Coturnix japonica: one gene and its partners. The protein of the gene in region 1 purifies or fractionates together with the protein of each later gene. This does not show direct contact. Links are inferred from orthologs where the notes say so. Each region holds a gene or a part of one and is shown in the gene's direction. Other genes may lie near its edges. The genes, in order: RCC1, XPO1 and RANBP1.

What was found.
Region 2: the proteins of RCC1 (region 1) and XPO1 purify together in Homo sapiens (affinity purification with mass spectrometry; 3 studies listed by BioGRID and IntAct, with this or other methods). This does not show direct contact. The link is inferred for Coturnix japonica from reciprocal best matches to the Homo sapiens genes RCC1 and XPO1.
Region 3: the proteins of RCC1 (region 1) and RANBP1 purify together in Homo sapiens (affinity purification with mass spectrometry; 3 studies listed by BioGRID and IntAct, counting the BioPlex papers as one, with this or other methods). This does not show direct contact. The link is inferred for Coturnix japonica from reciprocal best matches to the Homo sapiens genes RCC1 and RANBP1.

Annotation. Positions count from the first base shown.
Region 1 is NC_029538.1:1,926,544-1,936,845, forward strand, and holds the start of RCC1 (regulator of chromosome condensation), read left to right. Parts: upstream 1-3,675; 5' UTR 3,676-3,747; intron 3,748-3,905; 5' UTR 3,906-3,952; intron 3,953-4,031; exon of another isoform or gene 4,032-4,237; intron 4,238-4,403; exon of another isoform or gene 4,404-4,495; 5' UTR 4,496-4,540; intron 4,541-5,300; 5' UTR 5,301-5,372; intron 5,373-5,648; exon of another isoform or gene 5,649-5,805; intron 5,806-6,045; exon of another isoform or gene 6,046-6,064; intron 6,065-6,341; 5' UTR 6,342-6,514; coding exon 6,515-6,584; intron 6,585-7,765; coding exon 7,766-7,953; intron 7,954-8,199; coding exon 8,200-8,379; intron 8,380-8,473; coding exon 8,474-8,570; intron 8,571-9,063; coding exon 9,064-9,186; intron 9,187-9,412; coding exon 9,413-9,559; intron 9,560-9,799; coding exon 9,800-9,919; intron 9,920-10,224; coding exon 10,225-10,302. Other genes in the region: PHACTR4 (phosphatase and actin regulator 4), read left to right, coding at 660-721, 1,291-1,428, 1,868-1,944, 2,254-2,269. UniProt on the Homo sapiens protein: Guanine-nucleotide releasing factor that promotes the exchange of Ran-bound GDP by GTP, and thereby plays an important role in RAN-mediated functions in nuclear import and mitosis.
Region 2 is NC_029518.1:5,190,615-5,200,265, forward strand, and holds part of XPO1 (exportin-1), read left to right. Parts: intron 1-1,297; 5' UTR 1,298-1,303; coding exon 1,304-1,429; intron 1,430-5,266; coding exon 5,267-5,368; intron 5,369-9,184; coding exon 9,185-9,257; intron 9,258-9,651. UniProt on the Homo sapiens protein: Mediates the nuclear export of cellular proteins (cargos) bearing a leucine-rich nuclear export signal (NES) and of RNAs.
Region 3 is NC_029530.1:1,020,742-1,031,009, forward strand, and holds the start of RANBP1 (ran-specific GTPase-activating protein), read left to right. Parts: upstream 1-4,022; 5' UTR 4,023-4,130; coding exon 4,131-4,145; intron 4,146-5,553; coding exon 5,554-5,690; intron 5,691-6,279; coding exon 6,280-6,437; intron 6,438-7,861; coding exon 7,862-7,990; intron 7,991-9,042; coding exon 9,043-9,108; intron 9,109-9,182; exon of another isoform or gene 9,183-9,316; intron 9,317-10,094; coding exon 10,095-10,216; 3' UTR 10,217-10,268. Other genes in the region: TRMT2A (tRNA (uracil-5-)-methyltransferase homolog A), read right to left, coding at 211-322, 839-954, 1,214-1,328, 1,892-2,073, 2,522-2,630, 3,163-3,635. UniProt on the Homo sapiens protein: Plays a role in RAN-dependent nucleocytoplasmic transport. Alleviates the TNPO1-dependent inhibition of RAN GTPase activity and mediates the dissociation of RAN from proteins involved in transport into the nucleus.

The DNA of each region.
Region 1 (10,302 bases):
GCCTTGTTTTGCATCTGACATTCTAGTCCAAGTGTACGTGGAGTCTGCTTGAAATGTAGCCATGGAGGTCTGCGCTTTGCTTACATCGCTGTACTAAAGCCATAGCAGGGATAGCACACAGTCCAGTTCAAAGCATCCCGTTATGGAAAGGCTGTCCACCCCCTGACAGCTCAGGGAAAGGTGTGCAGATTGATTAAGACTGCTCTGAAATGGCACAGCAAAGTTTTTGTTTGGACTGTTTGTCTTTGTGGCTCAGACATTACAGCATTGTACTGCATGATCCAAAAAGTTCATTGTTCAGTGAGCGCTGTTTCTTTTGGCCATACCCTCTACTGCAAAAGCTTTAAATAAACATATTGGGGAAAGGGAAACATCAGTTCAGGAAGCTTTACATATTTATCTGCGCTGCTTTTCTCTTCAAAACTCTTCCTATAATAGCTTTGGGGAGGAGTAATCTGCAAAGTGGTTCTGAGGGTACGGCCATTAATCTTAAATACACAGAGAGCTGGGGAGAATGACTCATTCACGCTGTGTCAAGGCCCACCAGACCACTGTCATTGAGCGGGGTGTTGCTAAGCAAAGGTATTAACGGAAGGTGCTTTTCAAAGCCTGTGATGCTAACAGGAAAACAACCTTTGTTTGTTTTTTCCACTTGGCAGCGAAAAACGAAGCTGACCGTCAGGCTGAGAAGAGAGAGATCAAACGTAGGCTGACCAGAAAGGTACTGCTGGCTCTCGTGCTGCGTTGGCCATCTGGCAGAGCTGTCGGGGTTGGTGGTGGCCGTGAGGTGCCTGGCTGTGGGTGAAGTCACGGGGCTGTTGTGTAATTGTCCCCAGTGCCCTCTGACCGCGGGTGACTTTGGAATGCGGGTTGTCAGAGCTCTTGGCACCACAAACAGGTTTGGCGCTGACAGATTTGAGCTGGCATCAAGTGTAACAAGCTAGATGAGGACTCAATTTGGCACCTGGTACTTGAAAGGGATGCCGGCCTGTCCATAGAACTATCATTCAGTGGCTGTGATGTTCACATCAGGCTCCTTGAAATCCATTTCCAAACAGCTGGAGAGAAGTTGTGCAGAGAAACAGCTGCTTTAGCTATGGTGCCCAGGTTGCACACTGCTGTTACTCATTGCTGGGGAAGAGCTTCCCATGAATGCCAGTGTCATGGTGAACAGGAGCTTGGTTCTGTGGCCCAGGACCAGTGAGGGAACTGCTCTTTGCCGTGCATGGTGTGACTGGTCCTGAGCTGCTCTAGAGACAAGGCACAGACTATTTTCATTCTTGTCTTCAGCTTAGCCAAAGGCCTACAGTAGCAGAGCTGCAGGCCAGGAAGATCCTGAGGTTCAACGAGTATGTGGAAGTAACTGATGCTCAAGACTATGACCGGAGAGCAGATAAGCCATGGACAAAGCTTACACCTGCTGACAAGGTAACAGGGAGTGCCCTGGCCCCGGGGAAGGGCAGGGAGTTAGAGCAGATGTCCCAAACAAAAGGGTGAGAGCCAAGGTGTGAATTGCTTGTTCTTTCCACCTCTGGCACCCCCACTTACTACCACCAGTTTGGTATGGGGACTGCCCAGCCTTGGTTGCAGAGGAGGTGGAGCAGGTTAAACAGCCTGGTGTGAAGTGACTGCGAAAGGTGGGAGTGGCTGCTGCAATCTGAGCTTCTTTCTTTACCAAAAGATGCTGAGGGATTCAGGCTTATGTGTAAGATCTGCTGTAACTCTTCCCTTTACCAGCAAAAGGCGATACAGATCAGCCCAGAGCAGGAATGCTGGAGCCACAGCGCCTCCCTGCCATATCTGAAACTCACTTAAAATGGGGGATAGGAGATAACAGGAGATAACAGCTCTCACTCTCCTCTTGCAGGCTGCCATCCGGAAGGAGCTAAACGAGTTTAAGAGCTGTGAAATGGAAGTCCATGAGGAGAGCAAGCAGTTCACACGGTGAGTGAGCACATACCATCACAGTGCCTATAGTACCAACCTTAGCAGGGTGTGCTGTACCTCCTCAAGGATCATGGAATGCTGAGATTCTGCTTTTAGGCTCTATATGTCCTGCTTATCAAGGAAAAAGACAGAAGTAAAATGTGCATCGTGCCCCCCATGGCTGAGCTGTGTTGGCAAAGCACAAGAGCTTTGTAAGGCAGAGATGAAAACTTTGGATGTTAACAGCTTTTTTGCAGTTGGTAATGCTTCAGTCAGTGCTTAACCCAAGTTCCAAGGGTGACACTGGCTTTTTCACTTGGCTTTTAGGTACCACCGACCATAACCTTCCAAGAGGGAACAAGAGACCCAAGATGCCTGGAAGTTCTCTGCATCCCTCACCTGGGCAATACAGCGAGGGCACAACCTCGACTCTTCCAAGATTTGCCTTCAAAACGTATCCAGCAAAGGGCTTTCAGCCAGGGAAGGGGGATCCTGTCTGAATGTAGCATTTCACTGGAACAAACAAGTCTCGAGTGCCATCAGGCTGGAACTGAACACTATACCTCGTGCAGCTCAGCAATAAGCCTCTCTTCTGGCTCCAGCATCCCTGCCAGAATGCACACACACAAGCAAAACGGTTCCTTCCCCAGCTTCCTGTGGTGCCAGGCCCAGTTCTCAGCTGCACATATTGTGAGCAACCCCTTTGTTTCTTCTTCCTTACCAAGAGGAGAAAAACCAGCTGGCAGCTCTGGTGCTGTTGAGCCAAGGAATGGAGGGCAGATGTACTAGGAGACACGTGTGTAGAGTTACTGGTGCAGACGCTGTCCTGGCAGACAACTGCCATCAGCCTTGTTGTTTTCTGGCTTTGCTTCCGTCTGTTGTTACCTTTCATGTCCTGAATCACTACTGACCAACGGTTTGTTGTCCTGGAAGGGAATTGTATAGAAATTAACATATGCTGCGTCTTTTTGGTTTCGTTTTGTAAAAAAAAACCCAGAAAAATGAGCAAAAAAAAGAAAACACAGAGGTATAAAACATTCCCTCCCCACTCTCTCACGCTCGCTGTGATGTCAATGGATCTCATGGAGGTTAATAGTGCTCATAGAACCCAGAAATGACTGTTGCCTTTAAGAACTCTTTGATTTGGGGAAGCTGTGACAGCAGTCAGTGCTTTCCATCGCAGCTTCCTCTCAGCTCTTTGGGTTATTTTTTACTCTCCCAAATCAGGGTTGAATTTGCCTTGTCTCATTTTATTTTTGTTTTTACAAGCAAAAAACCTACTGGAAACTTGATATTGATCACTGTGTGAGTGGGAGCTTTAAGAAGTGACCTTAAATCGTTCATACAAACTCACCTTATGGCACTGAGCGTGAAGGGACGATGGCAGCACTGTGGGAAGGCCTCACTGCGCCAAGGCCTGAGGTAGGCCGCGGCCCTCACAGCTTCCCCGTGTACAGAATGGGCTGTAGACTACAATCGCGTTGTATATCTGTCTCCTCAAACAGATTTTAATTATTGAATAAAAGTATTTTAGGAGTTTTGGCTTTTTTTTATCGTGTTTAAGCCGCCCGGTTGTGTTTCGGGCGCCATCTTTGAGCGCGTGTGTGGAGACGAACACAACCGCCCTTCCCGCCGTTCCCGCCTTCCCGCCGTTCCCGCCCTTCCCGCTCACACCGAGCAGCCAATCACCGCGCTGTGCACACGGCCCGCGCGTTCCGCTCACTGCGCCTGCGCAATTAGGCCACGCCCACCCCTCACTGTATAAATAGCGGCGCAGCCCTGAGCTCGCTCTCTTCTGGCGGCGGACGGCGGCGTGAGCAGGTGGGTGGTAGGGGGAGGTGGGCGGGGTGCGGCCTAGTCTGGCCTTGCTTTCCTTTGCGTCTATACAGCCTGTTTTCTGTTTTATTTCCTACTTGTGATGGTTGGTAGGGCCCACACTCCCGGCTCAGCCGGCCCTCACAAGCGTTGTTCTCCCCTAGGCCGGCTGGTCGTGCTGCACTGCGGCCTAACCCCGCCCGCTGCCGCTGTGAGTATCGCTGCGCTCCGCTTGTATGGATGGAAACGGGGTTGGATGGGGGGGGATGACACACATACACAGCCAGAACCCAACGAGGGCACCCGGAGAAGTAGCTCTCTCTCGGCTCTGTCCGCGTGGCGCACGGGAGCGTAGGCCTGAGGGCCCGAGACGTATATTCCCCTTCCACATCGTTGGAGAACAAGCCGGGCCTCGTGCCTGCAGCCTGCATATTCCTACTGCTTCTCTGAGCCCGTCGGGCAGTGACAGAGGAGATAAACCATGCAGGAAACATCCGTACAGAGCGGCTGTGGGGCACGTTGGGGGGTGGAGGGGTTGTGGGGGGGGGTTGGCTGTGGGGCACATTATGGGGTGGGAGGGCTGGCTGTGGGGCACATTAAGGGGTTGGGGGGCTGTGGGTCAGCCCCATAGCGCTGTGTGGGGTGGAGGGCTGGAATACTGGGGTTGGGGGGGTGGCAACATGCAATGGGAGCACGTAAAAACCATTTGGGGCTTGGAAGTAATGAGGTTTTCTTGATGCTTTTGTTAATGCAGATGCTGGAGATCCGTAGTTAAACGGCAGCAGCTGAGTCTGTGATGGTGAGTATGAACTGAGCACAGCGTGTGAGTGACCACAAATAGATGGATGTAAGTGTGACGTCCAGGCTGCTCGGTGGAGGTTGGAGCAGTGTGGAATGGGGGGGGGGGGGGGGTGTCAGGCCGTGCTGCTCCCTGCTGCTCCATTGCCCCCCAAGCGGCGTTGATTGATCCAGGGGGGCCCCTCATTGCAGCTGGGGGTGGTGTGAGGTGCCTTGTTGTATCAGCTGGGACCTGCAGGTCTTTATACAACGTGTGTGCTGCAGCCATCAAGGGGGCTGAGGAAGGGAGGGACCATTTGGTTGGGTGGGGGGGGTGAGGGGCTGCAGCTGGGGGGGGGGGGGGGGGGGGGGGGGGTGTTTGCTGTGTGTCACATGGGAGCTCTGGATTCTTCGTTTTATCTGTGCCTGCCAAATAAATGATTTTAAAACGCTGCCGTGTGGTTATTTCCTGTGCTGTGGGTCATCCTGTGTATGGGGGGGGGGGCTCCAGAAACACTGAATAAGTGGAGTTATTCGGGCTGTGTGTGGTTGGGTCGCCCACCCCTCATTGGGGCTGTACTGGGAGCTCGGTGCCGTTTGTAAGCAGTGCTGTGGGGCTGAATGGACTCTATGGGGTAGCAGTGCTGTGGGGCTGAATGGACTCTATGGGGTAGCAGTGCTGTGGGGCTGAATGGACTCTATGGGGTGAGGGGGGTGTTGGGCCTTAAGGCTAAAAAGCGATTCCTGCTGAGCGTACTTAGGCGTTGTTTCCCTCTGTTAAGCGAAGGACTTAACGGCTGCTTTTATCCCCGTTGGCTGCTTTTATCGGACCTTTGAACGTTCGGAACCGGACCGTGAGTAGCTTTGGTTGATGGGAAGGTTCCCTACGTGGTTCGGGGAGCAGCAGCCCGGCTGTAGTACGGGGAATAGGGGGGATGTGGGGGGCGTTAATATGGGAAATGGCTTAGAGAGGGGAGAAGGAGCTTGGGGAAGGGGTTGTTAAAGGGGGTCTTGGTGGTGGGGGGGTGAAGGGGAACCGACCCCTGTGGAAAGGGGGGTTGAAGGGGCGATGAGGTGAGATACCGGCCGGGCATTGCGGGTCTTAGCTCGCGGTGTTGGGGGCTTTTTAGGCTCCTCAATGCGAAGATCCCCCCGGGCTGGGAGGGCCGCTCCCGTGCCCCGAGGAGGCGGCGCCGGTGCCCGTTACCAGCAGGGGGCGCTGTGCCGCTCGCCGCGCCTCGGCGCATGCTCGGGGCCGGGAGCGACGGCGGCGGCGGAACGGAGGAGGTGGGTGCGCGGATGTGGGGGGGGGCGGGGGGGCACGGAATGGGGCTGGGGGAGGGGGGTGGGATAAAGGGGAGAAGGGGGAGGGGTCCGTATGGCCGTGCCGCTCCCGGAGCCGCTCGGTTTGTCCGCTGGTGCTTGGAACAGGCCGGGCCTGCGCGGCACCACGTGGGGTGGGGAAGTGGTGGAGTTTGGGGGGGGGGGAGGTAAGCGGGAAGTTCGAATCTGCGGCCCCACGCGTGTCCGGTGCTTCATTCAGCGGGTGGGTGCATAAAGATGGCCCCATTCAGCTGGCCCTATTCAGCTGGCCCCATAAAGCCTCGCTGGCCCCATTAACCCTCGCAGCCCCCCCGGCCCCTTCCCTACACCGTGCGGTGCTGGATGGGATCGGGATGTGGGATGTACCCAGGGAGCTCCCACGTCCCCAGCCGTGGTGGGACACCATGGTGGGACACCGGACACGGCCCCGTTCTGCAGCTCCACGTGGGGTCGTTTCACGGTGGGATATAAAGGTGAGAGTGATGTGTGTTCTCTTAAAGCTGGAGGACAGATCGGAGGCTGAGTCCGGACGCGGTGCTGTAACACAGTGAGAGCCGGGCTGGGGACAAGCAGGGTTTGTGTCCAGCACAGCCGACCAACAGCTGCAGCTCAGCACCCTGCGGGCTGGGCAAGGCCTGAACAGAGCAGCTTTCATTGCTCACATCCATCCGACATGTCTGCGAAACGTGGTGCCAAGAAAAGCCTCGTGTTGGAGAAGTCTCCTGAAAGGAAGAAACTCAAAGGTAACGCAACCCCACGGGGGGCTTCTCATCCCCCTCCATCACAACCCCATGGGGGGCTGCTCATCCCCCACCATCACAACCACACGGGGGGCTCCTCATCCCCCTCCATCACAACCCCATGGTGGGCTTCTCATCCCCCTCCATCATAACCCCATGGAGGGCTTCTCATCCCCCTCCATCATAACCCCAGGGCAGCTTCTCATCCCCCTCCATCACAACCCCATGGGGGGCTTTCAATCCTCCATGCATAACCCAGGGCAGCCTCTTCGTCCGCTCTATACAGCCCCACGGGGGGTTCCATCCCCCTCCATCATCAACTATGGGGGGCTTCTCATGCCTTCATCAGCCGACTGGGGGTCCTCATCCCCCTCATCACACCATGGTGGGCTTACTCGTGCCCCTCATCGAACCCTACGGGGGGTTTCCTCAATCCCTCATCACACCCAGGGCAGCCTCTCATCCCCTCATCTCATAACCCATGGGGCTTCTCATCGCCTCATCTAACGCCCAGGGAGCTTCTCATCCCCGTCCATCACAAACCCATGGGGGCTTCTCATCCCCTGCCATTCCATAACGCCAGGGCAGCCTCTCGTCCCCTCTATCACAGCCGCCACGGGGGGTTTCTCATCCCTCTCCATCACACTATGGGGGGCTCTCATCCCCTTCCATCACACCCACTGGGGGCTCCTCATGCGCCCTCCATCACAACCATGGTGGGCTTCTCGTGCCCCTCCATCGCAACCCTACGGGGGGTTCCTCATCCCCCTCCATCACAACCCCAGGGCAGCCTCTCATCCCCCTCCATCACAACCCTACGGGGGGTTCCTCATCCCCCTCCATCACATCCCCACGGGGGGCTTGTCATCCCCCTCCATCACAACCCTATGGGGGGCTTCTCATCCCCCTCCATCACAATCCCATGGTGGGCTCCTCATCCCCCTCCATCACAACCCCATGGTGGGCTTCTCATCCCCCTCCATCATAACCCCATGGGGGGCTTCTCATCCCCCTCCATCATAACCCCAGGGCAGCCTCTCGTCCCCCTCTATCACAGCCCCACGGGGGGTTTCTCATCCCCCTCCATCACAACCCTATGGGGGGCTTCTCATCCCCCTCCATCACAACCCCATGGGGGGTTCCTCATCCCCCTCTGTTTTCCCATCTGTCCTTTCTGCCCTCAGTCTGCCACCCGTCACATCGCACTCAGCCCGGCCTGGTGCTCGTATTGGGTCAGGGGGATGTCGGACAGCTGGGCCTGGGGCAGGATGTGATGGAGAGGAAGAAGCCGGCCCTGGTGCAGCTGCCGGAGCTGATGGTGCAGGTGGAGGCAGGAGGGATGCACACCGTGTGCCTCAGCGAGACGGGCAAAGTGAGTGAGCTGTGGGGGCATGTGGGGAGCTGGGTGGGGGGCTGAGGGTCCCCTGTAAGCATAGGGAGCTCCAGGAGCAGGGGTTGAATCATGGCTGGGGCTGCAGCCTCCCTAAAGCTCCTGGATGGTCTCTGTGGTGCCTTGGAAACATTGGGGTGTATGGGAGGGGGGGGTAATTCAGCCTGGTGGGTCCCCTGGTTTCATGTGCTTCCATGTCCCATCGTAACCACATCCCTCTCTTTATAGATCTACACCTTTGGTTGCAATGACGAAGGTGCCCTCGGGCGAGATACCACGGAGGAAGGCTCAGAGTGCAGCCCTGGAGCCGTGGAGCTGCAGGAGAGGGTGGTGCAGGTCTCAGCAGGGGACAGCCACACGGCTGCACTGACGGATGACGGCAGGGTGTTCATCTGGGGTTCATTCCGGGTACGTTGGCTGTGTGTGTTGGATGCTCTGCTGCTGGTTGCTGGGAGGTATCACTGACTCCTATATGTGCACCCATCATCTCTTCTCCACCCAGGATAACAACGGGGTGATCGGGCTGCTGGAGCCCATGAAGAAGAGCACCATCCCTGTGCTGCTTGAGCTCAATGTGCCCGTTGTTAAGATTGCCTCAGGTCAGCAAAGGGCCCCCACTGTTCAGCATTGGGTGAGGGGTGAAGGTCCAGAGGGTTCCTTCCCTATTTGCTGTGCTGAGCTGGGTGAAAGGATGGGCTGCTGTGTCTCTTGTAGCCCCTGTGGTGGTTTAAACTCAGATGGGGTCAATGATTAACACATTTAGCAGTTAGTTAGGAGTTATTATATACAGTTTGGTTGGTTGAAAACGCTTTGCAGTTACTGCCCTGTCACAGCACAGGGTCAGGGCACTCACCCTCTTTAGATATAGGGAAGCCAAACAGAGCAGCCAGGGAGTTTGCCCGGGATCCAGGTGAGGTTGGAGGCTTCCTGTGCCTCTGAATGATCCATCAGGAAGGGATCTGAGGTGTGTCAAGTGATCCAGAAGCCACAGAAACCTGGAAAGCTTGGACAGATGGGGCTTGGGATGTGGGATGTCCCCTTGGTGGGCTCTGGGGGGTGACTGCAGCACTCACTTTCCATGTCTCCTTACAGGGAACGACCATTTGGTGATGCTGACAGTGGATGGCGAGCTGTTCACGTGTGGCTGTGGCGAGCAGGGCCAGCTGGGCAGGGTGCCTGCACTCTTCTCCAACCGAGGAGGACGGAAGGGGCTGCGTGAGTGGTTTTGGGGCTCAGAAACAATTGGGGTTGCAGAAAGCAGGCTGTGTCATTGGGCTCTGGGCAGAGCTTTGCTGAGGAGCAGAGACACCCTGTCTCTTCCTGGGCTGTTCGAGGGCTTGTTTGTCAATTGGTTGCTTAAATTCAGTGATCTGCAACTGAGAGGAGAGGAAAAGGGTGTAAATCATAAGCTCTCTTCTGATGCCTTGTTTCTCATCCCCAGAGCGCCTGCTGGTCCCCCAGCGTGTCCCTGTCAGAAGCAAAGGCAAAATGCGTTTCCAAGATGCTTTCTGTGGGGCTTACTTCACCTTTGCCATCACACGGGAAGGACACATCTATGGGTTCGGCCTCTCCAACTACCACCAGCTGGGTGAGTTTCATTTGCATCCCTGCGGTTCTCCCTACTTTGGTGGGGCTCCAGAATGGACCTGATCCTACTGTGCATACCCAGTGCCCATTGCAGGAGCTGGAAAATCATGCTTGAGGCTCTGGGTTTGGTTCCCAACCCCTTCATTTGCTGGGCTGGGCTGTGTGAGTGGGGTCAGAGCCCTGTGAGGATGGCTTAGTGCCCATACCTGATGTGCTCGGCTTTGTGCATCTCACCCTGCAGGGACCCAGGGCACCGAGCCCTGCTTCTCCCCACAGAACCTGACGTCCTTCAAGAACTCCACCAAGTCCTGGGTCGGGTTCTCTGGTGGGCAGCACCACACCATCTGCGTGGACTCGGAGGGTGAGTATTGGTGGGATGGAGGGGCTGCCAAGCAGAGTGGGGTTCCTTAGAATCCCAGTCCCTTATGGGGGAGAATTTGGGGTCAGGTTGAAATGCTGAAATACTCTGAGTCCCCCCCACAGTTCTGTATCTCACTGGGGAGCCCAGAGTTGATGGTTTGCTGAGGGATGTGGGAGGGAGGAGCGATGCTCCCAGCTCCTGCATGGTCAGACCTGGGCCAGGAGGGGTCTGTCTGCAGCCCTCCAGCCTCCTGTGGTCCCTGCCCTCCTCACTTCACCACTCCTGCTCTCTCTGTCGTACCCCAGGTAAAGCCTACAGCCTGGGCAGGGCTGAGTACGGCCGGCTGGGCCTCGGGGAAGGGGCAGAAGAGAAGAGCACACCCA
Region 2 (9,651 bases), on another chromosome or scaffold:
CACAAGTTTTTCTTGCTCCTTATTCTTAAGCATAAGATTGAAGTAAGGGATTACGTTCATTCTTATTCACACATAAAACTGTTGAGTAAGAGCAGAACTGATTTCCAGTTTACTCTGAGGTAGGGTTGCTCTGTCTTTTTTTTATTATTTTATTTTGTGTGTGTGCATATGGGGTTGTTTATAAAAGACTTGTGGATGGTATCTTTGAACATGCTGCAGGATCAAATATAACTTCTTGAGTGACCTTGCAGTTCTCCAGACTTCAGGCTATTTCTCAATTTCAGTATGAAATTTGTAGTTCTATGGAAGACTGAAAATGAGGGTGAATGGCTGAGAGCTGCTATAGAGAAAGGGGGGTAGGAGAAAGCGCTATATTTATTGGTGATTGGGGGAGGAGAGCAGTGCACTCGGTCAGCTGCTGCAATAGGCGTGGTGATATAAAAAGACCAGAGTGGAGTGTAACTTCTGATGCATGGCTTGGTGGCTTTTGGCTTACTTGCTTACTGTCTGTGAACATCTTCATCTACTGTTCACCAGCTGGTAAGCATCTGTACATGCAACATGGTGTACAGCCCACCTGACTGTCTTCATAAGGCAGGGCTACTAGGCCTGGGATGTGGAGTTGATACTTGTGTTGGGGGTGTTAAGTGCCAGGTAACTGCAGCAGGATTTTCAGTAAATTCTACCAGGTGCTCTAATGTGGAATGCCTTCAAGTGTCACATCTTGAATGCCTCTCTTAATTTCAGTGATAATTTTTTGCTTCTGGGTTTGTGAGCTGTTTTCCCAAGCAAACGAAAGATGGTCTGTTTAACTTTTACCAAGTACCTAGGTAACGTTTCACTCCTGGAACTGTTCATTGAGAAGCTTTCAGAGCTGGATTTGCAGATGTGCACTTTTGCCTTGAAAGCTTAAAAATCTGTTGCAGTCACTAGGATGTGTTCTGACTGTAGCAATGCTAGGTCTATCAAACTTACACATTTACAGATATTCAGAGAATAGTAGGGGCTGCTGCCTACTTCCTAAACAGTTGCTTAGCTTGCTTGATTCTATAGCTCACTGGTTAAACTGCCATTGTACATTGTACTGGATGAACACCCTGAGAGGTGGGTTAAGGTAGTACTGTATGAATTTTAAGTACAGGTTTGTCGCTTGCTTAGCAGTGGTGGGAGTGTTGTGCCATTCAGTATTGCTGAGATAGCTTGTGTCAATTAAATGATGTGCTTTAGAAGCATCACTTTACATGATTGTGTCTGATAATAAATTTATTGATCAAAGAAATCTTTTTTTTTCTTCCAGTAATCTATGCCAGCAATTATGACAATGTTAGCGGACCATGCAGCTCGTCAGCTGCTGGATTTTAATCAGAAACTGGATATCAATCTTTTGGACAATGTCGTGAACTGCTTGTACCATGGAGAAGGTGCACAGGTAACGTGAACTTGGATCCTGTGTTTATGGACTGTGTTTAACACTGTAGCAGCAAATCAGTTGAGCAAAATTAATTTACTTGAGTAAAAATACTAATCTTAATGGCTTTTCTGTGCTGGTGACAAGAATATAATTGGTGATTTGTATGCCTGTGTTTAAAGTAGTCCCGATGCAGTTAATGTTGAAATGTTAGTTCAGTGTGTTTTTGTACCTTGCTTGCCTTTTTCTGTTAGAAGAGATGAGTAAGTGCAATTTAGCATGAGCGTCTTTGCTTGCGGCTCACCCCCTGTACCTCAGTGTTTCAGGAAAGTCTGAATTACCTGTTACTATTCTGGATGGGATTGTGAAGTCAGAAACTCAGTATTGGCCTCACTGAAGGATTATATTAAAGAGAAAAATATTTGTAGTGTTAGGATATTTATACTTACGAAGAAGCATATTAGAGGCATTAAGAGATTTTGCCCTTTTATCTATTTTTTTTTCCCCATATTACTGTTTTTTTTTTTGTGTGTGTGTGTTTGCACACAGGTTATTCTCATGCTATTCTTTGGCCTTAATGTGAAGTCTGAGGAGAGAGTGTGCAAGCATCCTGTCTTGAAACTGAATCTCATACATGTTGCTTTTACTGATTTTTTGAACTATGGGGGAAGGAAGGCTCAATGTTGATGGCATGTATTGCTACCAAGGATGTTGGCATAGTTTCTTTTACAGCAAGTTTTAATCGTCCGTGCTTAAGAAATGGAGAGTTTCAGTGTCAAGCAACTATTACTTGTGTATTATTGTGCAACAGTAAAAATAAATTAATGAGATGAGTAGCTGATGCCTTTGCTTTTCTCCTTCCAACTATTAGAATAAACAAAAAAATACTTGCCTGTACATACTTTGTGTATTTTTAATGAAACGCTTGTGTATGGCTTTCTAATGTTAATTCCAATGTTTAAAATCCCATGGTTATTTTCTTGAGACACTTGCAATTTCAGGTTCCAACATCCCAAATAGCTACTAGTGTTAGGTTTTAAAATTATGATGTCACAGAAAGCTGCTTCTAGCTTTTGCTTTCAATAGTAGAGATTTTTGTTCTCTTAAGTCAGCATAGCAAATTTGCCAGTTAAATGCAGATGGTGCTTGTAGTATCCTAAGACTAAAGGATTAACCCTAAACATAGTGGTCAAGTTGCCATTGTTCTTGCATTAGGAGTTGTGCCACCTAAATCAGCCCTTGCTTCATCTTTCATGGGGTCCCACTCATACCACCAGAGACTTTATCCACTCGCAGTTAGCAGCCCCATTATGGAGGGCAGCTCCAGTGAGATAATGCCCTTTGTAGATTCCAGCATACAGTTCTTTCCACTCATTCCAACTGTAGGGTTACTACACCTGAGTTTGGGTCAAATTCTTCTAAGTTTTTATACTGGACCTTCTTACTGGTTTTAAAACTGTTGTATATCATAGGATCAAGCATTACACCTTACATGTGCGTTCAGACCAACAGTAATGTTTGGAACCGGGGCCTTCTTATTCCTCATTGGATCCTTCCTCTGTATGCTGGCAGGGATGCAGTACTGATTAACTTGCTAGTATCTCCTGCTGAGGGATGAATCTGTTATCCTCTGGCTAGAATTGGGGACCTTCCTTTCTTTAACTTGGTGAAAGCCTTAGACTGCAAGCTGTGAACTTCAGTAAACTTAGCTACTTAAACTAAGTGAGTTACGTGTAAGTATTACATTACTGAGTAAGCATTCAGTTAGAATCATACAATCACCCAGGTTGGAAAAGACCTTGAAGATCATCAAGTCCAACCACAGCCTAACCATAGTACCCTAACTCTAACAACCCTCTGCTAAATCATATCCCTGAGCACCACATCCAAACGGCTCTTAAACACACCCAGGGATGGCAACTCAACCACCTCCCTGGGGAGCCTATTCCAGTACTTAGCTACCCTTTCTGTAAAGAAGTGTTGCTAACATCCAACCTAAACTTACCTTGGTGCAACTTGAGGCCATTTCCCCTCATCTCTGAATATCTCCTGTCTTTTGCTTAGTTCTTACTACCGCTTGCAAAACTATCCGAAGATCTGTTGTAGGCAAATACAAGCTGTTCTTTCCTAGACTTGGAGATTTTTTTTCTATTCTTAGCTGTTGTTTTGTTTTTTTTTCCCCCCCATGTATTTTCTGAAAGAAAGAATGCTCCAACAGGTGATAAGTTTTGAGACAGCTCAGACAGATGTTTAGCTTTGCTCATCACAGACACTTACATTCTATTGGTTTGTTAGACTGTCCTGTGCTCTGAAAGGTTGTACTCGCTTATTTTTCCGTTCTGTGGCAACAGAACAGAGGCTTCAGTCCTGGTCAAGCATTACTGCTTGCATGTAACAGGAGATGCTGTCCAGTCATGTTAGATATTAGTGGGTAAGGGAGTGTATTTTATAGGACCTGAGAGAAGGATATTGACCATGTTTCTTGTTGGTATTGATGCTTGGTTTTGTGATACGTCACCTGTATTAGAAGCACTAAGAAGGTTCAGTATAAAAGAGTGCTCAAGTTGAGCCTGGAAATGATTCTTTCCCTCTTAGTACAGCTGAACTACATCAAAATTGCTGAATATTTTACCTCTGTGGAACTGTATGAGAATGGTTGTACTGCCTTTTTAAGTAAAAATGAATGTATGTGTGGTATTAGTGGATGTGGCACCTACCAGGATGTGCAATTCAAAGTCGGTGCTAGACTGTGGAATGCTCTACTATAGCGAGTAGTCTTAAGAAGAGATGCTGATATCTCATAGATACTTCATATATCCTTGCTGTTTACTGTTTCAGCTCTGAATTTTTATTTGATCTCTTATTGATTGAGTCTTGATGGGGTTTCTGTGTTAGGGAAGGCATGTAGATGTTTCCTTTTTCCCCAGCAGCTCAAGTACACTCTTGCAACTAACTAGAAATCTGCTATCTGTAATAAAGTTGTAACTGGGGAAGTTAAAGTGGTAACTGCTTTAATTCCATTGAATTGGATCTGCCCTGCAGTGAAAGAATGAGTTCTGTTGATGGTCACGTTACTTGTTTCTTGTAACTTGGAAGATGTTCATGTTGTTGGAAGGCAGTGTCTGTCCGGTGCTTGTAGGCGATGCAGTTTACAGCAGGGTTTGTTGGTATACTGCATCTTTAAAAATGGCTAACATTAGGCTTTCTAAAACGGATGTTTATGAAAATGCAGGCCTGAAAAAGATATCTGAAATTAGTTGAGCTGTTTTTATGCGTAGTTGGCTCAGATGAGGTTTTGCAAGTTATTGCAGCTGTGATATCTAGTAATTGGCAGTGTCAGTCTCAAGGAAAAACCTAAGGACTAGCATGACCAGCTGGCCTGCTGCCCCCCAAGTAGTTTCTGCTTTTCTAAGCTAGTGGATACATAATGGGTTTCCTCTCAAATAGGGTAAATGGAGAGTTTTGGTTCTGCTCAGTTGTTCTTCAGAATAAAACAAGAAAGCAAGCTAGGGTGCCCTTGGATAAAATTTTATCTAGATTTGTTGAAAGGAGGACAGATTCCATCTCTAGTATACTTTCCTTGAGTGTGCTTTTCTTACGTTTGGTATTGATTTAGATTGACCGTTCTGTATGGAGGAGTGGAAGTAAGTCAGTGACCATCTTGCAGTAGTGCATTTCTTGAATTTGATTGTTAATAAGCTATAATTGACAGAAGGAAATCTGTGATCTGTTGCTTCTCATTTTGTTCTAAGTCTTGAATACTTGTTTCAAAGGTGACATGATGTTAATATATTTAATTTTACTATATATATATTTCCTTAAATAATCATAATTTTTTTTTTCCAAATTTTCTTTTAGCAAAGAATGGCTCAAGAAGTCTTGACTCACTTAAAAGAACATCCTGATGCATGGACAAGAGTTGATACTATTTTGGAGTTCTCTCAGAATATGAATACCAAAGTAAGCAAATAAACTTTTATTTATTTGATTTTCATCTTTCTTCCACTCCTGAACTTTGAGGAAGGTATCTCATTTTTAGCCATAGACTTTTGATTCAAACCACAATTTTGTTGTCTTATTACCAAAGGTGGCTTTAAACAGAAACTATAAATGGACAAAATATTTAAATCTTTTGTTATGTTCACAAGAGTATTCCTCCTTTTTCAAAGGAAGGAAGGGAAAGAAAGAAAGGAAGAACTGAATTGGAATTAAGTTTTTTTTTTTTTTTTTCAAGGCACATATACATGCATAATGCCACTTCAAAGATCGGTGTATACATGTGGCTCTAGGAGGCTTTTCATTACATTTTGTTCTTGGTTAAGTGCTTGGCTGTCTTTGATGGAATGAGAGCCATGTGCATGTAACTGAGGAGATAATTTGTCCCTAAGAGTATTGAAGACAAAATAGAAACAGGCCACTATTTTGAACAGTTGATGAAAGTTGAGCACCTCAAACTCGTTGTAGTATGAGATTAGTCTTTACTAATATAGAAAACAAACTTGCTTTGCACTGCCATTGTAAATCAATCCATCGTGATAGTGTCAAAGGGATAGCGTTCAGTTTTTGACAATACCTTTACAGGTTTTACTTTAGAATAAGATTTCTGCAGATTGAACAGAAAAGTTGATTGAAATGTTTCCACTGTCTTAAGTTTGATAATTATTATCCTAAGTAATTGATAGGCATGGTTTTCTGCTTGATACGCAACTGTGTTGGAAAAGAAATAATCATGGTTGGATGGTCTCTGAATTCAGGAGGTATTTGTGAAAGAGTTCAATTTCATTACTTTAAAGTTTAGGAAAAAAGAATTTAAAGAACTTCCTCAAAGTGCTAACCATTAAGTAACAGTGTTTGCCTGTTTGCTTGCCTGGTAAACTTTGCTTATTATACTGACAGACATTACTAATTTTTAAGTTGATTTACCAACAGTATTTTTAAAAACTCAAATTTGTCTTGTGAAAAATGAGATGATTTGAGGAACAGAAAGAAAGCAACAGGTAAAGAATTCTTCCATTTACATAAATTGCAAATGATTTGGTGCTAAATTTATGCACTATGACATTTGGCTTTTATGCAATCATATTTTTTCTTTAATTAAAGCTGTTAACACTACCTGATATTAATCATAATGTTCCATTATGTTGATTGCTTGTAATAGGAAGAAAAGGGGTGTCTTCCTGTGCAACTGACACAGCTAGGCTTTGACGGCAGGCCTCCACAAGGTCTACCCTTTTGATTCCCTTTAACTGAATTCTGTTCATCAATTGTTTTTGTTTCTTGGGAGGTGGGAGGGAAGGGATTTGGTGTATAGAGTAAGTAATAAGGGTATCATAGAAATTTCTACCATAGGGATCATTATAGGGTTTCTTTCAGTCTTTGCTGTTACCTGTCCCTCATCTTCATAACTTGGTAGTGAATTGCTGCTAAACAATTAGAAATAAACTAAGAGAAAATGCATTTTGGAAAGGCTTCTGTTTTATGCTGAGTTTAAATGTTTGCACATATTGTTTGATGAATTAATGAAAATACCTCTGATACTTCAGATGGCAGAACTTAAAATTGACAGTGGTGAGATTTTTTTGAGATTTTGGTATTTCCTTGGTATAAAGATAACACAAATTTTTGCAGCCACTCAATTGAAAGTAGCTTCAGTTTAAAAGCAGCAACAGCAACGAAGAAAGCCAGCACACGATACTTTTAACACAACATGGCAATAAAGGTGCATGAGTAGAGGTCATTTATGGTGATTTTATTACTGTTCCCATTTCATTTCCCTCACAAGTATTAGAAATGAATAATACTGGCACCAGAGGTGAGAGGAGATGAACAAGAGACTAGCAGAAGACAGAACTCAGAAAACATGCAAAATTCTGTAGAAACATAGAAAGTGAACTTTTATAGCTTCTAAGGAAATGATTTTAAGTTGGGTTCTTCAGTGCATAATGGGGAAAAAGTATGGCAACTTTCATTAAAGAAAAGGACAGACATCTCTAGTACTTCAGTGAAACTCTAAGGGAGAGAAAAAGAATGAAGATGAATTCTGTCCGTAGTTTCTAAAAAATTTCTTAATTCTTGTAAAATGCCATTCTGATTTTTAAAGTCAGTTAAGTTGGCTTGTGGAAAATAATGTTTGGAAACAAACAGCGTTTTTGTTTAACTGTTAACATGGAAAGTCTGTTAATATGTGTGCCTACACAAGCTAGAAATAAAACAACTAGCTTCTGCTTCAGGACAGTTAACCCTGTCTTACATAAGTAGTCATATTCCCAAGGTTGTTAGAAGCTTCTGTAAATGTTTTGTTAGTGTAGGTCAGGTACAAAATGGCATTTATGCATCACTGCCTGTGAAACATTCAACTTACAGTTTTCATATATTTTTCTTTATTAATGCTTCCTTGATTTAATTTAGCTTTTGTGTTTAATAACTGTTGTTAACTTACAGATTAAAATCCAGTTTATGAACTGCGATTGCTTACACTGAAGAAAAATAAAAAAGATACCTTGATGATTTTCCATAGATTCAATTTTTTTTTTAATCTGTGCCCCAGCATCTCAAAAGATGACACTGGTTTGCAGGTCCAGGATCTACACGTTAATCTAGTGGAGGTTTTTGGGTCACAAAGGAAAGCATGTGGGGAATGTAGGTTATGTTAAGATGAAAACAGCAAAGATTTTAATAGAACAATGTAGTTTGGGACAACCTACATTGTGCTTTGTTCTGTTGTTTCTTTTGTGTGTTTTTTTATTAAGCTGAAGTCCATGTGATCCCTTTGGTTGAAATGTTAATGATCCTACTTTATATAACAACTAACCATTTTAAAGAGGAACTCTTATTCTCAGCCAAAATTTTAACTGTATAAACATGAATTTACCTTTCAGGTATTGATGTGATTTATTTTATTCTTCCTAATCTTAAGCTGATAAAACTATTGCAAAATTCCTCATCTCCCTTTCTCTGCTGTCTATTCATGCTAATGGGGTTTTATATACCTTGATCACATCAAAACTTCTCTCCCTGTTACTATGAGTTGACAGTAGGGACAAATGGGCAGAGGGAGCGTCCTTACCAATTCCTTTGCAAATAGAACGTTCTTGGCAAAGAACCTAGGAAGGAATTCCTGAAAGGTAAAAAATAATTTCCAAGAACTTAAGCATACTTTTTGACTGAGCACGAAAGTTCATCTTTAAATAGTAGAAATAGTTGGCCATATTGGGGTGGGTATTGAGGTTGAATAAACCTGTGGGATGTCTTGCTGTTCCTAAAGTAACACACCAGTGAAGTTTGGGAAATACTTTCCTTAGAAAGTGCCAGCATCAGAACATGTGATGATGAGACATGATTTTTTTTTATTTTTTTTTTTTTCAGCTCTTAGAGAAATGATAGGAAACTTGAGACCGTCCAAGCTGCTAAATATTTTAGGAGCCTGGTTGTGATAGTACTTGAATGTATGGACAGTCATTTATGATGCAAATTCATATCTGGCTGCCACTTCTTCCTTTCCAGAAGGCCAAAATTGTCTACCAGAGAGCTTCTTTCTTTTTTTTCCTCTCTGGTGTGAGCATGATCAAACAGCAGGATTTAGTATAGCAAAAATTAAAAGAAAAAAAAATGCATGAAACTTGAGTAAATGGGTGAATAGACATATTTAATAGTTTTTTTTAGTTTAATGTTCTTGAAGTCGTAGATGTTACATGTGAATGTCTGATTGAATGAAAATCCTGACAGTGAGTTAGTTGTACAGTAACATGCTCACATTTTACTATTCTCCAATTTCAGTATTATGGACTTCAAATCTTGGAAAATGTGATAAAAACAAGATGGAAGATTCTTCCGAGGAATCAGTGTGAAGGTAGGAAGAGGTTTTTGTTGTTACCTCTTAACATTTTTTTTCCAGAAACACTAAGTAGAACTACTTTCAAAACTTGTCACCATTCCGTAATTGTTCTTCTTTATTAAATACTGATTTCTCAACTCAATTGAATTTGTGTTCTGCTGTGAGCTGTTTCTAACATTGTGAAGATGTGATCAGAAGTTTCACTGCCAGTTTATTGATGAAATGTGATAGTAAAAGTGAAGATTCATTTTTGGAGAGGGGGACTTCAACATTTGTGAATATTTTCTTTACCTCCACTCAAAGAGTGGCAGATGTAGCCTAGCTCTTGAAAAGGCTTCACTTAATTCTATTAGAAGCAGCCTTACAGACTTCTAGGAAAAAAAAACCCAAAAGGGGTTGAATGCAGTTG
Region 3 (10,268 bases), on another chromosome or scaffold:
AGGAGAAGCTACGTTTGACGTCCCACCAGTAACATTGATGCTCATTTACTGAGCTTGTACAGCAGAACACAATACTTAAATGTATTCAATCACAATGAAGGTAGAAAGGTTACATCTCCTAAGTATATGCTATCTTGTTATGGGGAAGCAACCAATTTTGAAGGCAATGATGCAAATGTAGTTCATTTAGCAGCTCAGTATCATCCTTACTTGGAAAAATGCATGAGGAGAAATTCTAAACTTCAGGCCAAGAAGTTCTTCATAGATGTATTTATCGCCAGCCACGTGCTCCAAAGGCAAATCTTCCAGATTGGGGGATTTCCTGGGAGGGGAGAAACAAACAAAAAAGCACATAAGTCTACCTGTTGCCATCTTTCCCAAAGCTGGAGTCATCTTCAAAGCAATACTGCTGGATAGATCCCAGATAGTAATTTATAGTGTGCAACACCAATCGTGTTCTTTTACAGAATGTCGTCTTGGACGTTTTTTCTTATAATTCTTATTCTATTTATACGCAGTTGGGTCTAAAAAGAGGCAGAACTTGATTGTTGAGAGCAAATGGCCATCTGGTGCAGCACACTCTTCTGCAGTGTGACAGTTACCCAGTCAGAGGGTTCACCCACAGGAATGCCATCTGCCTTTCTCCAGGCACCGCTACAGGGACGCGGAGGTTTCAGTTTTGTGGGAAAGCTTAATAACTGTTTGGCTAATTAGTAGCGCTGCTGTTACCTTTAGGAACTAGAAACAGGTGAGCTAAGGGTGTGGAAGCGCCACCGATGTTACTGTTAACAAAACTGCCACCACCCAAATTCCCCGGGGCGAAGCTGAGTCCCGTTACCTTTGGCCTTCCTCCACAAAGTACAGGGAGGTAACACCGCTCTCCTTCCCCGTCCCTTCAGTGAAGTGTTTTGCCAGAGCGGCCTTCAGCTCAGCTAGCTCTTCTCTGCTTAATTTCTAAAGGTTTCAGTGGAAAGGAGGGAGAATAATCACCTTTGTGACTTAAAAGAAATGATTTACCACATGCCACCTGTACAGAAGCAGTATATAATAGAGAAGATAATTTACTGATGTCAATTAATTGCTCATTTACATGTACTGGATAATTTTAAGTAGAAAAGTAGTACCAAATAACTATTCCATTTCTCTTTCACATGCACTGTTTGGAAAATCAAATTAATGTAATTTAAAGCAGTGTGTCGTGCATCTCAAATACCTGAGGATTAAAGTAAACGATTGCCATGATGTGGCCGTTCCTGCTGGTTCGGACCGTGAGCTGCTTCCAGTGACCTTCGTAGGTTTCTGGGCTGTAAACTGAGTAAGGGGTTGACCTGCAATGTGCAGCAGCTCAGTAATTTAACAAGGAACTGTTGTGAGGGAATAACATTCAATAGTTTACTGAAACAAAAGCAGCTCAGCAGGTAAAGTGATGAACAATATTAAAGCAGAGGCTACATTGATTGCAGAGAAAAGAATGACTTCCAAATCTTAAGGAAAAAAGGACAGATGAAGTAGATCCTGTCTCCTCCTGCAAAACAATCTGCCCTTAGCTCTTCTCAATCCTCCTCCGCTTTAATCCATCCAAACTGACAGAGAGCACAGGCAGCCCCTCACCATGGTCTGAAAATGAAACACTTTAAGAACCTTAACAGCAAGTTGAGCTGCCCATCTTCACAATTATTTGGGGGTTTCAATTGCTGAGGATTTAACTGCTTTTCAAACAAATCACTTATAAGAAAGCCCTGTTGCTCAGCAATCAATGTTTTAAGGTTGTCTTGCAGGATTCAGCCAAACAAGCAGCTAATTTACAACTGTCCATAGTTAATTCTATGAGTACTCTTCAGTATCTGGGACATCAACACTTTCACAGATACCCCATTTCACTTTTGCTCACCTTATGTAGTCCTGAAAAGCCTTTACTACTTTTTTGGCAGCAGCAGGAATGTGAATGGTATCAAACGGCTCCACCACAGCACAGGTACCACCCTTGTATTTGCCAAGACGACAACCCACAGTTTTGTCTTCTTGATTTACACCGATCCCAATCAAGAACTCGCATTTGTTGCGATATTCGGTCTAGATTTAAAATAAAGTTACGTCAGAGATTTATACAGCACCTCCTTGTCAACTGTTCCATCCTGGAACTACTCTCATGTGGCTGCAGGTACATTTCAGATACTCATATACTCATACACGCCTACAGGGCATTTCAGACAGTCCCAGACTTTGGTGGAGGGGAGCTACTGGCCATAGTGATAAAGCACCAACAGGATCTGCAATTCCAACAGCAAACTCCTGCGCTCCCTGCACCACACTTACACTAACTACAACACACTGCTGGGGACAGCACAGTATTTAAAGGCAGATTGTTCTGCTTCTTGCCAACTTTTCCAGGCACTGTTTACATGAAAGGCAACGATGCCTACAGCTGGTGATTAACTGACAGAGGAAGAAAAACCCTCACTTGCTTCACTGTCTCTTATGACGGCTGCTTGAAGGCTGAGCTCCCAGAGCGTCCCGTTACCTGTAATGGTGAGGCCTTCACTCCCTCCACAGGGCAGCACATCCTGTTGTACTTCTGCTTCTGCAGGAACAGCCAGGGCAGCAGCGCTCTGTTGGTATTTCCAATTTCCCTGCCCGGATCAGAAACAACAATTAAAAAGTGTGTGTTTGGAACGAGTGAGGTTGACAGTTACAAAAGACTTTTTCTTATCCTTTCATGGCCCACAATGGACATAACAAGTTACCAGAGGAAAAACTCTTCTCCTGGAGGAAACCCACGTTTTAACAGGGGAACAGATCTCTCAAGTTACCAGACCTGCAGCCCCAGGAAATGACACTTTGTACAACTTTAACTCTATGTACCAGATTAAGAACGTACCCAGCGCACAGGTGGGACTTTATCTATGGGATTGAGGGAAATGATGGAACAAATACTTCGATCTACAAAGACTGAGCTTGAAAACCGAGGGGATAATTTGTAAGGGAATCCCGGTGGCACCGGGCCATCTCTGCACAGGCCCTTTTGTGCTGGCATCCTCAGGTGCCCGACTGCGGGCTGAGGGCGGCGTTACTTGGTGCCATGACTTGGTGCCATGACTTGGTGCCATGACTTGGTGCCATGACTTGGTGCCATGACTTGGTGCCATTACTTGGTGCCATTACTTTGCCAGCTTCTGCAGCAGCTGCTCGCAGTCCCGGCGCTTCTCGTCCAGCTGCTGCTCGTAGGGCAGTGCCCACAGCGGGGTCACCACGTCCGCGATCCGTTTGCTGACGGGCTCTGCCGGCTCCGTCCCGGTCCCGTCCCGCTCCTCCTGCCGCCGTTTCCTCGCCATGGGGTCGGCTTTGGGCTTGGCCGCCCGTACTCCGAGGGCCCGGCCCTTCCACGCGGCGCCGTGCAGGACCCGCACGGCCTCGTCCCGCTCCTCCTGGCTCTTGAACGTCACGAAGGCGAACGTCTGTTTGCCCAGCAGCTTGATCTTGTGCGGGCTCAGCCCGAACTTGGCCAGGAACTTCTTGACGTCGTTGAAGCCGATGTACTTGGGCAGGTTCTGGATCTCCACTTTGTAGATCTCGGAGGTGAACAGCTCCGCACGGGTGTACCCGTACACGTCGGGGCCAACCTCGGCCGCGTCCATGGCGGGATGGGGCGGAGCGGGCACGGAGCGAGACGGGGATGGAACGATCAGCAGCGATGATGGTGTTCAAATACAGCGGCACCGAACCGTGCGATCCGACCCGGTACAATACAGACAGCGGCGGGCTCAGCGCTGCAGCAGCACGGCCGCCATCTTGGGACGGGACGGCACGGCCGGGGGAGGGGGAACGGGGAGAGAGGAGGGGAGGAGAGCGGGGCTGCAGGGCCGGGGGTACGGGTGCCGGGCGGGGCTGTGGGCGGCACCGAACCGACACGGAACCGAACCGACACGGCACAGCAGCACACGGACACACGGACAAACGGACACGGACACACGCGGCCCAGCACCGCGAGAGGAGAGCAGGGGCGGGGCGGGCGGAGGGCAGGGGCCGTTTCCCATCGTGCCTTGCGGCGGCGCGGGCTGCGGGAATGAGGTAAAGGCGGGAGGGGCGGGAACGCGGCAGGAAGAGCTGAGACAGCGGGAGAGAACGGGAGGATGGCGGATAATAAGGTGGGGAATGGGAACGGGGGGAGGGAAATAAGGGGGGGAAGGCGGCGGGGGAGCGGGCCGGGGTGGGGGATGGCGGTAACGGAAGCGGGTGGGGGCCGCGCGGGGCCGAGGCCGCGGCCCAGGCCCGGTTGTGGGCCGAGCTGCGCGAGGGCGGCTGGGGCAGCGCTGCCATGGGGAGCAGCAGGAGCCGCTCCGCTCCGTTCCGCTCTATTCCGTTCCGTTCCTCTCCGCTCCGTTCCGCTCCCCGGGGCCGTTTCTGGCTGTTGTTGCCGTTCCCGCTCACTCCTCGTTCCTTCCCGCAGGGCCCCACGTGTCGCCTGTCGCGATACCGCCCTGCCCGCTCTGCACGTGGCGGCGGGGCCCGGTGTGCCGGGGGCGGGGCTGCGGGGCCGCTCCGCTCCTCTCGTTATCTCGTTATCTCTCGTTATCTCGTCGTTATCTCGTTATATCCCGACGCTGTATGGCGGCTCCGTTCAATCTGAACGTTCCGATCCGCCGGGGCCGCTCGTGCCCCGCAGCGATCGCCGATAACCGAAAGTTTTTGCCCCGTTCTTTCCCGTCTTGTCTCCGTTCCGCACTGAGCGCAATGCAGGCCCCGTGTGTGTGTGTGTGTGTGTGATCCGCCTTTGTGTTGTCCCGGCTGCGGCAACAAAAAGGCACGAACCGGTTCTGTCCCCCCGAGATCCATGTTTGTGGCCTCGCTGAGTTTGCGGAGCGCTTCCCTTGAAGGCTCCTCACTGAGCGCCCCTACCAGCACAGCCGTGTGCCCTGTAGTCATGGTACCGTGCCATGTAGTCGTGGTACCGTGCCATGTAGTCATGGTGCCGTGCCCTCCTCACCAGCTGCCCCTGCAGACTTCCTGAGCCCAGCAATTGTGCGGGCAGACCCCGAGCAACTGCATAGGAAGCCTCATGTTGGCCATTTACCCTCAATGAAAAACAAGGCTCCTCAAAGAGCGTTGTGTTGGAGGAAAAAAACTTCAGTCACTTCGCGAGTGTTTTGACTGTGCTTCAGAAATCTCTGCGGCTGTGGGGAGTTCTGACACGTAGGATGAGAACAATGAACTTCTGTTGCCTGTCTGGATGGACTTGGGCTGGTGGAGGTGGTTTCTTTAGTGATGTTTTTCCCCCCCATTAACAATAGGTTGTTAGTAGCATTAAGTGCATATACTGGAAAAATGATGGGGAAATGACTTTTCAGCAGCCAAAGGCCAGGACAGTAGAACAAAACCAGCATGAGGCTGCTTCTTTCTTAGTCTAACTGCACATCGACATAAAGCAATTAATTTTCACCTGTGAATATTGGTTAATTTTAACACATATTTCAGTTGCTGAGATCCAGTTGCTGAGTAGTTGTGAATGTAAGTGTGCAGCATGTTTAGCTTTCTTTTTTGTTTTCCCCTGTCCAGGAAGCACATGAGGAGCACGATACCTCTACTGAAAATGCAGATGATTCCAACCACGATCCTCAGTTTGAGCCCATAGTTTCCCTTCCAGAGCAGGAAATAAAGACTCTGGAAGAGGATGAGGAAGAGCTCTTCAAGATGTAAGTAGAACACTTGTACGCATTATCTGGCTGCTTATTGTACTCAAGCTTTAATGTGTTACGAGAAAGTTGGATGACTTGTTAGGAATCTCTGTATGAAGTGGCAGTGTAAGTTCACTGCTATTTACTTTAATGGCAGAGGTTGAGTTGGGGAGGTCTGACAGCACTGTCCCCAAGGAACTGATGAAGGTCTGGAATAGCATGAAGGAGATGGTGTCATGAATCTGGTTTTAGTATTGACTCTTTTATCCCAAAAGAAAACATTAACTTGGATAATAAATAAAGTTTTGAAGGTATGTGATACTGGTCTAAAACTTATAGTGCAAAAGGTATGGAAGACCAGCATAGGATCTAGGCACATTCCAGACAAAGATCTATTTGGAATCACACGGAGTAGCCCAAGCTGGCGGGGACACACAGGGCTCATGGAGTCCAACTCCTGGCACTTCACAGAACCACCCAAGGTTCTTTCAAAACATTTTCTCTTTCTTGCGTGGCTTAAAAACATCTGCTGTACCATACAGGTGGATGTGTTGTTTCAGTAAGCTGTTACATACAGGCTAACTTCTCACGTTCTTCCTTCTTTAAGGCGAGCAAAGCTGTTCCGATTTGCATCTGAGAATGAGCTTCCAGAATGGAAAGAACGAGGAACTGGTGATGTAAAACTCCTAAAGCACAAGGAGAAGGGAACAATTCGCCTCCTCATGAGGAGGGATAAAACTCTAAAAATCTGCGCAAACCATTACAGTATGTTATGTGTTACTATACTTGCTACTGTTTTGTGTGTGTGTGTGGTTTGTTTTTTAAGTAAGCTTGATGGAGCTTTATACATTGAAACTCAAGAGCCCGGTGGCTTTTAGCAGTGTAGGTAGAGAGATGCTGCCTCTTAAAGCAAGTGTCCAACTTACAGGAGACTATAAATGCTGTCATTTCTTGCTCTGTCCACAAAAGCCATGTATCAAAACATGAGTTCTCATCTTTATGGATGGAAGGAGGCTGTAGTTTTGATGATAACCTGCAGCACTGAATCTGGAAGTTCTTTGTTTCAAAGAGTGCTGATGTTTGAAGACACTTTGAAATGTAACTGGGATGGACAAACACAGTGTCATTGATCCCAGTGCTTTGTTCTTTAATGGTCACAATGTGGGCCTTAGTACTGTTTATTATAAAGAATGTTTGCTGACTTTTTCATAAAAGAATGAGAAACTATTACCAAATTAGTCTACTTTGTAGCCTTGGTAATACTTTGTTATTGATAGAGCATTTAGTATCTTTGAGGTTAAGCTACATTCAAGTAGTTTGAAATAATTGCTTAAAGTAACAATGCAAATCTGAGAACAGAAGCAATGATGTTTATTTTTCTATGGGCAAACCTTTGCAGAAGGTCAAAGACAAATGCAAAAGTAGCACAGTCACCAACCAGTAACAGTAATCAGCCTTTTCTTTAGGGAAATGTCCACTTAAATTGATGTTTGTCCTGGAAAGACTTTTTGCAGTATACATTTTTTTTCCCTGAATTTCTGGTGATGGGCAGGCAGACAGAAGGACCCTTTTTCATTCTTAAGAGCATTAAATGAAACAGCATAATTCCATCTCTAAATATATTTAAATACATGCAAGGAAGTGAGTTGGCTGTCTTTAGATTTCTCCTGAACTAAGCACAAGAGCCAGGATTTGGACAGGGAGAAGCAAGGAATGTACGTGTCTGAACTCTGTGAGGGCTGAGTGTGTGAGCAGTAACGTTGAAACTCCCCCAGTCAGTTGGGTTAGAGAACTAAGTGTAGGAATAATAGTTTTTCTTGTAGTATACCATATTTGCAGAGTGCAAAACAATGTTCTTTTCCCCTCTGAGTGCCTTTTCTTCCTAAACCATTTGACTGCTCCTTAGGATTGTGCTTAATGCCTGCATCTCTTGGGGTAAGTATAGAAGTCATTTGTTTTGGAACAGAATTAAGATGCACCGTAGTGAATCTAGCAGTCTTTTGTACAGGAATGGCATTGTGTCATTGTATTGGAGGGTGCAAAGGATACTGCTGGTGTTTTTTTATTTATCCATAAGTAATTCTCTATAAAATGCATTATGTAAGCAACAAATCCTTCAGATTTATGAAGGCTGGTGTGGACAACATATATTACTGTGCTCTGTACCTCTTTTCATGCTTGCTTTTCAGTCACACCCTTAATGGAGCTGAGGCCCAATGCTGGAAGCGACAGGGCATGGGTCTGGAACACTCATGCTGACTTCGCAGATGAGTGCCCCAAGCCTGAGCTGCTGGCAATCCGGTTTTTAAACGCGGAAAGTGAGTGGACAGCTGCTGAACTTGTTGTATTATACTCTATACCGCAAACCACTGTTACATATGCTTCCTTGCTGCTGCCTAGTAGCATTAGCTCATTGCTGCTTTCGCTGAGAGAAGTTGGAGACGTATTTTACTATGTGTTGATGTACGGTATGACAGCCAGGTCCTCAGTAATATTTACAGAGCTTTATGCTCTTGGAACCTTTTAAACTTAATTTTTTTCATGCAAACGTAATGCTGACTAAGCAGGTGGCAGGTGAGCAGATGTGAGTCAGCCCTTCAGGTGTGTTTTCTGGGATGCTTGAAAAGGAGTTGGTATTTCTTGAACTAGTTCACAGTGGCCTCTGAATTTCCTGTAGGGCAACAGTGACCTCGTGTGGTCAGTCATACCGAGCTGGTGTACCAGGTGCTGTGTGTATGGCTATAGTGCTAAGAAGTACCTTGACTGATGAGTCTGGCAATCTATTGTTGCTTGTATTAACTGTGTATAAACACTGTTTATGGCAACTTAGGGCAAAACATAAGAACAATCAAATTTCCTTTGCTATTGTAGTCAAGATTAACTTGAATTCCAGTCTTTGTATCACTAGTACAGTATTCAATGTTTATATTCAGCATTTGATGCTGAGACCCAAAGTTGTAGTATGGTTGTGAGTTCTTCTGGGGTGTATTGCAGTGGAGAAGGACAGTAGTTCATAGCTAATCTTCAGTCTTCTGTGCATGGTAATATTAGGATACTGGTGTATTCTTATTTTTGTGGGGCAGGGACAGCTAGGAGTTGTACTGACCTCGGTGTAGTTCCTTCTGGAGTCTTATTTGAAGTATTTTGAAGGTGTGAAGAGGCTTTCTTAGACTTGCTGCTGAAGATCTGCACAAAGAAGTGGCTGAAAAACTTTCTAGAGCTTTTCATTTGATCTTAAATTTGATGACATTATAAGTACCTACAAGTTTTTTTATACAATGTCTGATTTTTGAGGGAAGATAATTGAGAAACAGTCAGTGTTGGAAGGAGACAAAGTTAATGAAAAAATATTCTGTCTTTACTGGAACAGATGCACAGAAATTCAAGGCAAAGTTTGAAGAATGCAGAATTGAAGTAGACAAGAGAGCAAAAAAAGGTAAGAGTTAAGTCATAAACGTTGTGCCTCTTCTGTTTGAGTGGTTTTAGCCCCCAGTGTATCTCTGTGCTTGAGCAGACTCACTCTGTACCGAACTGCCGCCTTCAGTTCAGGTGCTTTTTCTGTCTGCAAGAGTAATCACTCACAGGCGTGATGAGTTGCCTTCTTTCTTGTGGAAGGCTGTTACAATTGCTATTGGGACATTGCTTTCCTTTTCTCTTTTTTGGAGCTGCTGCAGAAGTGCTTTCAGTTTATAGCACACGAGTGAACTGCGAGCACTCTAACCACAGTGATATTTCCTCCTTCCAGTTCCCCATCCCACATTCCACAAGTACATAAGCATGGAAATAGAACATTCAATTGTTCCTTCTGTATTTAAAGTGGTAGCATTTCCTCACGGGCCTTTATTGAATATCTTAATGCATTGTATGTACAATTGTCTGTTACAAGATAGCATATCTTGTGAAATAAACACTTCCATCTTCCTAAAGTACAGGTTACAAGTATTTGGTGATCAGTGCTATTGAGATTCAGATCAGAATCCTTCACTCTTAGGAACTTCGTGTCTGTCCCAGTTTCAGACTGGGGAGGTGGAGTCTCGGGAAGGGGGTGGTTCTCATTTGAGGTAGACAAGAAGCTGCAGACTTGGGAGATTCCCTTGACTGGACATTGTATGGACTCTGTTACCAGTAACACTAAAGCTGACCAAGTGCTGTGTTTTGCTGTCACTATATTGGACACTCATTTAGTGATTAAAATACTCAGGTGGTATTTCTTGAATTCTGACAGTGGAATTGGCAAAAAAGACAGTGAATCACCCCAGTGCTCAGTGGCGAGTTTCTTTTGCTCTTGCTCTTGCTCTTACTCTAAATACAGGCTGTCTCTCTGCCCCATTCTCTTCACCTTCCATGTTACTGTTCCTCCATTGCAGTAAAACTGGCTACTTCCTGTGTGTAACGTTTCTTTTCCCCTCATCAATCTCTTAGCAGGCACAGACAAAAACGATAGTGCCGATAAAGTTGCTGAAAAACTAGAAGAGCTTTCTGTAAAGGAAGAGAGCAAAGAAGCTGAGAAGAAAGAGACCAAGGAAAACGAAGAGAAGCAATAAATCATCCTGGGCCTTGCAGTTTTTCTTTATATTTTTTTCTTTTTTTTATTTT